2 linked regions of the Daphnia pulex genome follow. The protein of the gene in region 1 purifies or fractionates together with the protein of each later gene. This does not show direct contact. Links are inferred from orthologs where the notes say so. Each region holds a gene or a part of one and is shown in the gene's direction. Other genes may lie near its edges.

The links.
Region 2: the proteins of cleavage and polyadenylation specificity factor subunit 1-like (region 1) and pre-mRNA 3'-end-processing factor FIP1-like fractionate together in Homo sapiens (co-fractionation; 8 studies listed by BioGRID and IntAct, with this or other methods). This does not show direct contact. The link is inferred for Daphnia pulex from reciprocal best matches to the Homo sapiens genes CPSF1 and FIP1L1.

Annotation. Positions count from the first base shown.
Region 1 is NC_060020.1:3,223,213-3,227,757, forward strand, and holds the start of cleavage and polyadenylation specificity factor subunit 1-like, read left to right. Parts: upstream 1-1,506; 5' UTR 1,507-1,636; coding exon 1,637-2,009; intron 2,010-2,073; coding exon 2,074-2,595; intron 2,596-2,659; coding exon 2,660-2,991; intron 2,992-3,061; coding exon 3,062-3,196; intron 3,197-3,258; coding exon 3,259-3,396; intron 3,397-3,474; coding exon 3,475-3,594; intron 3,595-3,662; coding exon 3,663-3,968; intron 3,969-4,029; coding exon 4,030-4,157; intron 4,158-4,223; coding exon 4,224-4,325; intron 4,326-4,396; coding exon 4,397-4,545. Other genes in the region: modifier of mdg4-like, read right to left, coding at 32-360, 430-1,156. UniProt on the Homo sapiens protein: Component of the cleavage and polyadenylation specificity factor (CPSF) complex that plays a key role in pre-mRNA 3'-end formation, recognizing the AAUAAA signal sequence and interacting with poly(A) polymerase and other factors to bring about cleavage and poly(A) addition.
Region 2 is NC_060020.1:2,901,560-2,906,140, reverse strand, and holds pre-mRNA 3'-end-processing factor FIP1-like, read left to right. Parts: upstream 1-1,675; 5' UTR 1,676-1,748; coding exon 1,749-1,835; intron 1,836-1,899; coding exon 1,900-2,023; intron 2,024-2,153; coding exon 2,154-2,362; intron 2,363-2,428; coding exon 2,429-2,665; intron 2,666-2,723; coding exon 2,724-2,936; intron 2,937-3,024; coding exon 3,025-3,270; intron 3,271-3,332; coding exon 3,333-3,445; intron 3,446-3,508; coding exon 3,509-3,655; intron 3,656-3,727; coding exon 3,728-3,935; 3' UTR 3,936-4,022; downstream 4,023-4,581. Other genes in the region: pre-mRNA-splicing factor syf1 homolog, read right to left, coding at 1-181, 247-379, 453-877, 946-1,069, 1,154-1,302, 1,371-1,412.

The DNA of each region.
Region 1 (4,545 bases):
GAGATACCAGTACACAGTAGTTTTAAAATTGTTACTTTTTATCTTTAGATCTAAACGAACGGTCAGCAGTTTCTTTGAGAACATCGTCGGCAATGTTTGTAGTTTGGAGAACCATGTGTGCTTCTTCCAAAACCTTGAGACCTTGTTCAGCTTCAGATCGGCTCAAGTGATGTTCGTCAATGACGTGGTTCTCCCAGTCTCCTCGCGACGCCATAACAGTGCTGCACCACTTGCATGGTAACTTTGGACTCGTAGTGTGAATAGCTTTGATGTGACGTCTTCTGAAACCCCAGGTAGCGTAAGCACGACAGCAGAAAGGGCAAGGATAGGGAGGAAACTGGATGTTGTTACAGGCAACCGCTGGAAAATTTCGGGGAAAAAAAAAATTTACTTTCGATTAAACATTTTGCAAAAATGTTATGACAATACCTTGGCTTGAATTAGAAATCATTTCAACAGAAGAGTTAACAGCTGATGGCATATTGGTTGACTTTGTAACTAAAGGGTCAACATCAATAACACCATGACTGCACTCATCCTCCTCTTTTCTGTCCAATACAACTAAGCTATCAGGTCTTTCATAAACTTCATCAGTGTAAATTGCACTGCCACATGTTTCCTCTTCACTTAATGGCTCTTCTTTAGGTGTAACCAAAAGAGGTTCAGCGTCATTATCTTTTGGTGATGATGAGACTTTGGGCTTCTTCCTCTTGACAGGGCTGAAATCAGAACTTGGAAAATTCTGACTGAGACCAGTTTTCATTGGTTTGCTTAAGAGCTGATTTTCTAAATCAACTTCATTTTCTGCAATCCCAGCCAAACCCCTAATTTGCAACAAAGTTGCTGCTCGTAGAAGGTTGTTTAGTTGATCTTGTTCTATATTGACTTCTCCTTTGTAAATAAACTGTAGAATAGCTTCTAAAATATTTAGACTAATATCATGCAGAATTATTATTGGATGTCGGCAAGTATTATTTTTAAGCAAACTTTTAAATATCATACTGCAAGCACTCAAAACAACTTTGTGAGCTCGAATTTCTTGTCCTCCGCAAAACAGGGTCACATCACAAAAGGATTCTTCGTCCCACAGAATCTCTAATGTCGTAGTTAAACTTGATTGAAAATTGTTCCACCTTAAACAAACTTGATTGTCCATCTTGAATAAAATTATTTTGAGAATCAGCAGTAGCAAACAATAAAACAAAAACAAGCCCACAAAGTTGTTGTTTTCCGTTTTTATTACTTCAGTTTACAACAAAGCTGTCTGCTAGTTTATCTTGTATTTCTTTTCCCCCAGTGCCAGTGGCAAACTTTTGCAAGTTGCCGGAGCCGGACTCTTATTAGAGGAATTCGCAGAATTTCATCAAATTGAGCAATTCACGAATCATAATTAAATTCAATGAACGAGATAAATTTAAACGAGCAATAGGCCAATTTATGAATGACCGTAAAATAGAAAAGAACCGACATACATGTTCTATGGAAAATATTCGATTTGTCAACGTTGAAAGCTTTACAGCGGACGAAAATAACGCTGAATGTCAAAATTTTTAGAACTTTTATTCTCATTTATTGTAATGAAAACGTTTCAGTATTTGAAATAAAACTGATTTTGTAAACAACAAAAGAGATAACAATGTTCTCGTTATTCAAACAATCATATCCTGCAACTAGCGTAGAGCATGCGATATATTGCCGTTTCTATGGCGGAAAAGAAAAGAACTTGGTGGTTGCCGGTGCAAATGTGTTACGAGTTTTCCGGCTTATTCCAAATACAGATGAAAAAATGTTACGGAAAGAAAGCGCTGATGGCCAACCTCCCAAAATGAAGTTAGAATGCTTAGCATCTTACAATTTGTTTGGAAAAGTTATGTCAATTGCTGCAGTCAGTCTCCCAGGATCGTCTCAAGATACAATACTAATGAGCTTCGCTCACGCCAAGCTTAGTCTTATTGAATATGACCCTGTGTCTGATAACCTGAAAACATTATCACTTCACAACTTTGAAGGCAAGTAATAAATTTGTGCAAAGCTTACATGGACCCAGAATAATGATAGTTGTTTCAATTTTAGATGAAGGAATAGGGAGTAACCACAAAATACCAGAAATTCGAGTGGATCCTGAAGGAAGATGTGCTGCTTTGTTAATTTTTCGCAACACATTAGCTATTCTCCCTTTTCGCAAGGATTCTGCTCATGATAGCAATGTTACTCTTTCTTCGTATATTATCAAGCTTACAGATCTTGAAGAAAGAGTGGACAATGTGATTGATGTGCAATTCTTACATGGCTACTATGAGCCCACTTTAATCATCCTCTATGAGCCAGTAGGAACATTTCCAGGAAGAATAGCAGTCCGCCAGGATACTTGTAATATGGTAGCTGTGTCGTTAAACACTCAGCAGCGTGTCCATCCGATAATCTGGTCATTGAACAGTCTTCCATTTGATTGCTCTCAATTACTACCGGTTCCCAAGCCATTAGGTGGGGCTTTAATTATGGCGGTTAATTCAGTCATTTATGTAAATCAAAGCGTTCCCCCTTACGGAGTGTCTGTCAACAGCATTGCGGACCACTGCACCAGCTTCCCTTTGAGTGAGTAGATGCCTCTGATTTATTTTATAGTTAAATTATTATTAATAAAATTCAATCGCAATAGAACCGTACGAAGGCTCGAGGATAGGTCTTGACTGTGCTCGAGCTGCCTTCTTGCAGTACGACCGAGTTGTCCTTTCACTGAAGGGTGGCGAACTATACGTGTTAACGTTGTTTGCCGACAGTATGCGGTCCGTACGCAAGTTTCATCTTGAGAAAGCCGCCGCCAGTGTCTTGACTACCTGTCTATGCATCTGCGATAACTACTTGTTTCTCGGCTCACGGCTTGGCAATTCGTTGCTCTTGGCCTTTCAGACTAAAGACTACAACCAGTATGCAACTCCTTTCGCTGCAAAGAAACCTAAGATGGAGCAATTCAGTTTGCTCTTTGATCAGGTAGACAATACATTTATTGTTTAAATATTATTCCTAAATAAAAAGATTACAAAATTTCTATTGAAACAAGGAATTGGATCATTTAGACGAGGAGGAGATTGACAACTACCTCTATGGAGAAGATCATGAGTCGACTGACAGTAAGGCCATTAGTTATCAATTTGAGGTTTGTGACAGCCTCCTCAATATTGGACCTTGTGGACAGGTAATACTTTTATAACTTTGTCTGAACTGTCAATTTAATCAAGATAAATTATGGAAATTTAGATGGCAGTAGGTGAACCAGCGTCAACTTGTACTGATTTTGATAAAAAGAGTCCAGATCCTGATGTTGAAATTGTTACTACTTCTGGTTATGGAAAGAATGGAGCTATTTGTGTGCTACAGCGTACAATGAAACCACAGGTTAAAACTGACATTAGAAATAATTTCCTATTTTGTTTAAATAATATTTAAAATTTTATCTTTAAAATTGAAATCCAGGTTGTCACGACGTTTGAGCTCCCTGAAGTGAGTGACATGTTCACTGTGTTTGCTTCGCGTAATAATGAAGACGCTATTATGCATACATATTTGCTACTTTCACGAGCTGATTCCACAATGGTTAATATTATTGTTATAAACGGCGTGTTAAATTATTGAACGGTAAATAATTTTTTTTCTCTTATTAGGTTTTACAAACCGGACAAGAAATTAATGAAATGGATCAATCAGGGTTTAACGTGACTAGCCCTACTATTTTGGCAGCAAATCTAGGAAATAATAGATTTATTGTTCAAGTTTGCCCTACAAGCGTACGTTTACTTGATGCCGCTGCAACCGTTCTTCAGGAATTAGTAATGGACTCCGACTTCCTTATAACTTCGGCATCGGCTTCGGATCCCTATGTTGCTGTTTTGACTGAGAATGGTCGAATCGGTCTTCTTACATTTGTCGAAGGATCTCAACTCGAAATGATTTTTCCTGTCCTCTCTAAGGTTAGAATGGAAATTTAGTGTTTTAAAGAAGAATGTGAAATTTAACATTTTCTTGATTCAGAATTCTCCTGTCGTTTGCGTCTGTTTATACCGTGACATTAGTGGTTTGTTTAACACAACTATCCCGGAAACGGATTCGCCGGAAACCACGAAATTGCATACGGCCAACAAATCTCTAAATGCTAAAAAGTATACGCTAGATATCTTTAAGTTTAAATTTAGGAAGGAAATATTGATAAACTCTGTTCAATTAAGGGAAATGGATGACGAAGAAGATTATCTCTACGGTGATACCAACACCGAAGAAAGTCGACCCACAGAAGACAAAACTCACACTAAATTTACTCCTCAACAAAAGTAATCAGAATTTATCAGAATATCTCTTTGGTTAATTTTATTAATGGAACATTTCTCAAAATTTGTTGTAGAGTAATCGACTACTTCCGAGAAATAAAGCCAACCTTTTGGCTCTCCATCATTCGGCAAAATGGAACATTAGAAATCTACTCACTAGCAGGCCAATCAGTAGTGGAAACTTTTCAGACTGTTCACGTACACTTAGGACACCGACTTCTCT
Region 2 (4,581 bases), about 320 kb from region 1:
GGTTTTGACGTAAAAGAACAGAATTCAATAGCAAGGGCCGGCGATCCATTAAATCCTCAAAGCGGGCCATCCTCAACTCAACTTCAATATCATCGTCTTCTGTAGGATTAGGTTTCTGACCAATCTCTTCCATCATATGATTCAAATTCAACTCTTCAAACTGGGCATAGGCATCAAACACCTGTCGTAAATCAGAAAAACGTTAACTTGATTCGCATTAAATAAGACGACCACAAAGTATTTTACCTGTGTGAAGTCTCGTACTGTAGTAACTGTCTGAATGGCTTCTTCGTAAATATCTCTTGCTCTTTCAAACAAACCACTTCTAATATAGTAATCGGCAAGGGAATTCCAAAGCTGGCCAAGTTGATCAGTGTACCTACATAAGAATCCAGTAAATTATTCCTATGTTTGTAAAAATATTTGCATTTAATTTTTTTCCAGACACTCACCGTCGAAGACCTCCTCGAATGATTGCATCCACGTTAAGACTTTTAATTTGCTTGGGATTTTTCGAATTAAGTTCGCACAGTTCATTCCACAGTTGGTGGTTTGATTTTCCTGTCTTCGAAACAAAGCTGTCCTTGTTCACAATCTGGGCAAGTTTAACAGCTGCCTCATCAAGTCTGTCAATAGATTTTAAGTAATCGACAAATTCCTCTGCATCTTCGGTCGATAGTTTAAGAAAACGACGGAAAACTCGAACAGCTGTTTCTGGTATTGGATGCATTTTAACAAACTTCAAGTAGAGGGGCCAAATTCTGGAATGCTGGGTGATTGGCAAGGCTCTTAGAGCACGGTCAAAGACCTTTCTCGTAGTGGTAATCTTCTGTTGAAGAGTCAGAAACTTGCAATAGTCCATCCAAATCCTTGGCATCTATGGTATTCATTAAAAACATGGTATTTAATAATGTGTGATAATAATATAATTGGCATTTAAGATACCTTGTGCATGAATACCAATGCTCTTTCAAAAGTATTGTTGGCATCTTCATACAGTGGATCTGTTATACAGCGACCTTTAGTTTGCTTCCTTCTTAGGCAGAGATAACTGTACCATAGTTTGTAACTGTGAAGAGACAAACATGTGGATAGTTGAAAATGAGTACAAACTTATTTACTATGTACTACTACAAGAACCAATCAAACGAACCTGCCAGGCATTTCCTTCAAAGCTCTCTCATAAATCAAATTGACAACAACAGGAGGGGCATCCTTTTTGAACTCGCAATAGCGAAGCCAATGTTTGACAGAGTAAGGGTTCCGTAGAATCTCCTCTTCATACGCTAAATCTTCTTCACACTTTAAAGACAGAAGACATATTGTTAAAACCTATTAGTCAACTTCAATATAAAACAATGTATTATTACCAAAACAATGTCTCCAGTTTTCTTCCCTATACTTTTATCCATTTTGTTTATGAATTTTCTCGCAGCCACTCGGCTCAAATAAAATTTAACAAATAAATTTACGAACCAAACGTAAATGCACGTCTGCCGGGTGAAGTGTTGCCAAGTTGCACACTTACGTCTAACCCAAATTAAAGTTGAATTTTGTCCCTAATAGCGTCTTTTTATATAACGAGATCATTATAAAAATGGATTATCACAAGTTTTTATAGTAAAAATACCTTATTTTTGCGTTTGATGTGAAACAGCGACAGCCGACAAGCCACAAGCGTACATTCGCTGTTGTTTGTCCCCTCAGGCCTAAATTGAAGTGGGGTCTTCTGCTGTTTACAACCGAATATGGCCGACACTGTCCGGCACCCAGATGAGGCAGATAATTCTAATTCACAATTCCCTTATTCCTCGGAACAGTTACCAGATGAATACGTGAGTTTAAAAAAAAAATTATTGTTCGTCAACTGAAATTGATACTTGTCTCTTTTTTTTTCAGGGCGATGATGGAAAAATCGACCAAGACACCACCGGTAATGGAGAAATGTACGAAATCGAAAATGAAGATCATATTGCCATAGACAGAAATGACGGAAATACGGAATACGCTGGAGAAGGCTATGGTAATTTCATGTACATTTTTAATTATGGAAAAGTTCTTCAACTATTATCCCTTGTCTCTTTCCCTGTGTTGAATCGCTTGTCTGGTTTTCCCATAACAGTTTTAACATCCTGTATTTTCTATTGTAAAAGATCCAGAAGAAGCTGCAGAGACTAACGAAGAAAAGGATGAGAGACAAGATGAAGATCAAGACAATGATGACGATGAGGATGATGAAAGTGATGATGACGTACAAATCACGATTGGTGACATAAAATCTGGCCCAGCAGCTTATGCTGGTTTTAATGTCAAAAGAGGAACAGCTGGAACAACGGCACAAGGATTGGGGGAAAAGAGCAAAGTATACATTGAGCTACATCATGTTTGATGCAAGAGTTTGTTTTTAACATATGTATCTTATCTTAAGTTCACTGTGGAAGAGTTCGAAGGCTCAATGGCGATTAACGGTGTACCAGCACATGAATTTAGTTTGGATTCGCTGGAAGATAAACCTTGGAGGAAGCCTGGTGCTGATATCACTGATTATTTTAATTACGGTTTCAATGAAATAACGTGGCAAGCATATTGTGAGAGACAAAGGCGATCCCGTATGGAGTCTGGGGCTGGTGTTCCGGCTAGCCTTGGATTAGGACCCCCACCCAAGGTAATAAAATACGTAAACAAATGAAGCTCAAAGACGATATTATTATTTTTTGATTCAGATGATGGCGACCCCGGCCCAAGCGATTCCGATATCAGTGGTTAACGAAAATTCAAAATATGCGGGGTCAGTGGTTGTGAAAAAAGCAGGCCCTCCGCCAGCACGCAAAATGGCTGGTGCCATTGATGTCATTGGTGGAGGGAATCTATCTTCACGCCGACCAGAATCAGGCGTTTCACCTGCTCCTTCTATGGAGGAGCAACCTCCCGAAGTGGTAAGGCCCCGTATCCTTAATAAAATATTCATCCAAAGTCAACCAAAAAACTTTAAAGTTTATTATTTAAATTTCATTTTAATATCAGCCTGAAGCTCCTGTGGAGAAACCTCCCGTATCGATCGATTTCTCACGTCCTCCTCCTGGTTTTCCAAATATGGCTCTACCTCCTCCATTTGGTATGCCGCCACCAGTAATTCCACCACCAATGATGTTACCACCACCACCTATAGTACCTGATCCCTACGCCAATGAGTTCATGGCTGGCCCAGGAGCTCCTGGCGATGATTATTACCAATACGAACCTACTCAGGATTCACAGTGGGGATCTTCGGTAAGGATTTTAAAGACCATAACAGAAAACAAAACAAAATAAAAATAACTTTTTCCTCTTAGGACTGGAGAGGACCACCACCTATGGGAATACCACTACCAATGGGAATGAACCCACCGGGAAAGCAAAGAAGAGAGAGCCTGGGGACCCCTCCTGTTCCTGGAGAAGAATCTCGGTACTGTATATAAGTGGTACTCGATCTCCGTACAGCATTTGATTAGCTCTTCCTTGCAAATAGGATAAGCAGCAGCAGTCGAAGGCGCCGTAGCTCGCGCAGTCGCTCCCCTAAAGACGACCGAGAAAAAGAAAAAGAAGTGGAAAAGGATCGAGGCAAAGACAGAGAAAGGGATCGTGACCGCGATAGAGACCGAGATCGCGACAAACGGTAAGAGGAAAATCAAACGTTGACGAGCTTCTTCTGAAAATGCAATTGATATATTTCGTTCAACTTACACAGGGATCGACGCTCGGATAAGGACAAAGAGCGTGTAAGTGGCCGTGACCGGGAAAGAGATCGTGATCGTGACCGAGGAGAAAGAGACCGTAGTGATCGTAGACGTCGTCACCGAGGCAGTAAAAGTCGGAGTCGGAGTCCCACTTCTCATAAGCGTTCCTCCAAGCGCTCAAAGAGGGACAGAAGTAAAAGCAAAAGCTCGTCTGATTAGTTTTCGATACTCGGATTTCACTCCCTGCCTTTGTTAAATTTTGCGCAATTGGCCCAATTTAAAAAAATACACTCCTTTTTTCATTTACCTATTTTTGTTGATTTTCCTGAGTTATTCGTCTTAATCACAATTTATTTCAGCCCATCGAATAAGATTCAAAAAGAAAAGATTCCAACGCATATATTCGGGATGTATTTTTTTTCAAAAATGAAAGAGGGTAAAGTCGGTTGCACAAAGAGTGTGTGCTATTACGGAAATACATATGGAGGTGTTGTCTTTTTTCCAACCACAGAATTTAATATTAAAAAAAAGGAAAACTGTCTTTTCGATGGAGAGATTGAAAGAGAGAAGCGTTGATTTTCCAGAAAAAAAGGATTTGAGGAAGGAAGCGGATGTGGGATGTCGAAGAGCGAATTCTGGAGGGGACGATTTTTTTGTACATGAATCATGTTTACAAGGGGGGTGGGATAGGGGAGGAAAGAGCACTAGTGATATTTTTTACAGCATTTCGTAATTTCAATACATAACACCAGCGTTTACAAGGATACATTCTAATAATAAAGGTCGAAATAAAAGCCAAAATCAGGAAATAACTGACGCAAAAACCAAGGGATTGTAGGAAGGGGAGAGCTACACAAGAAAAGAA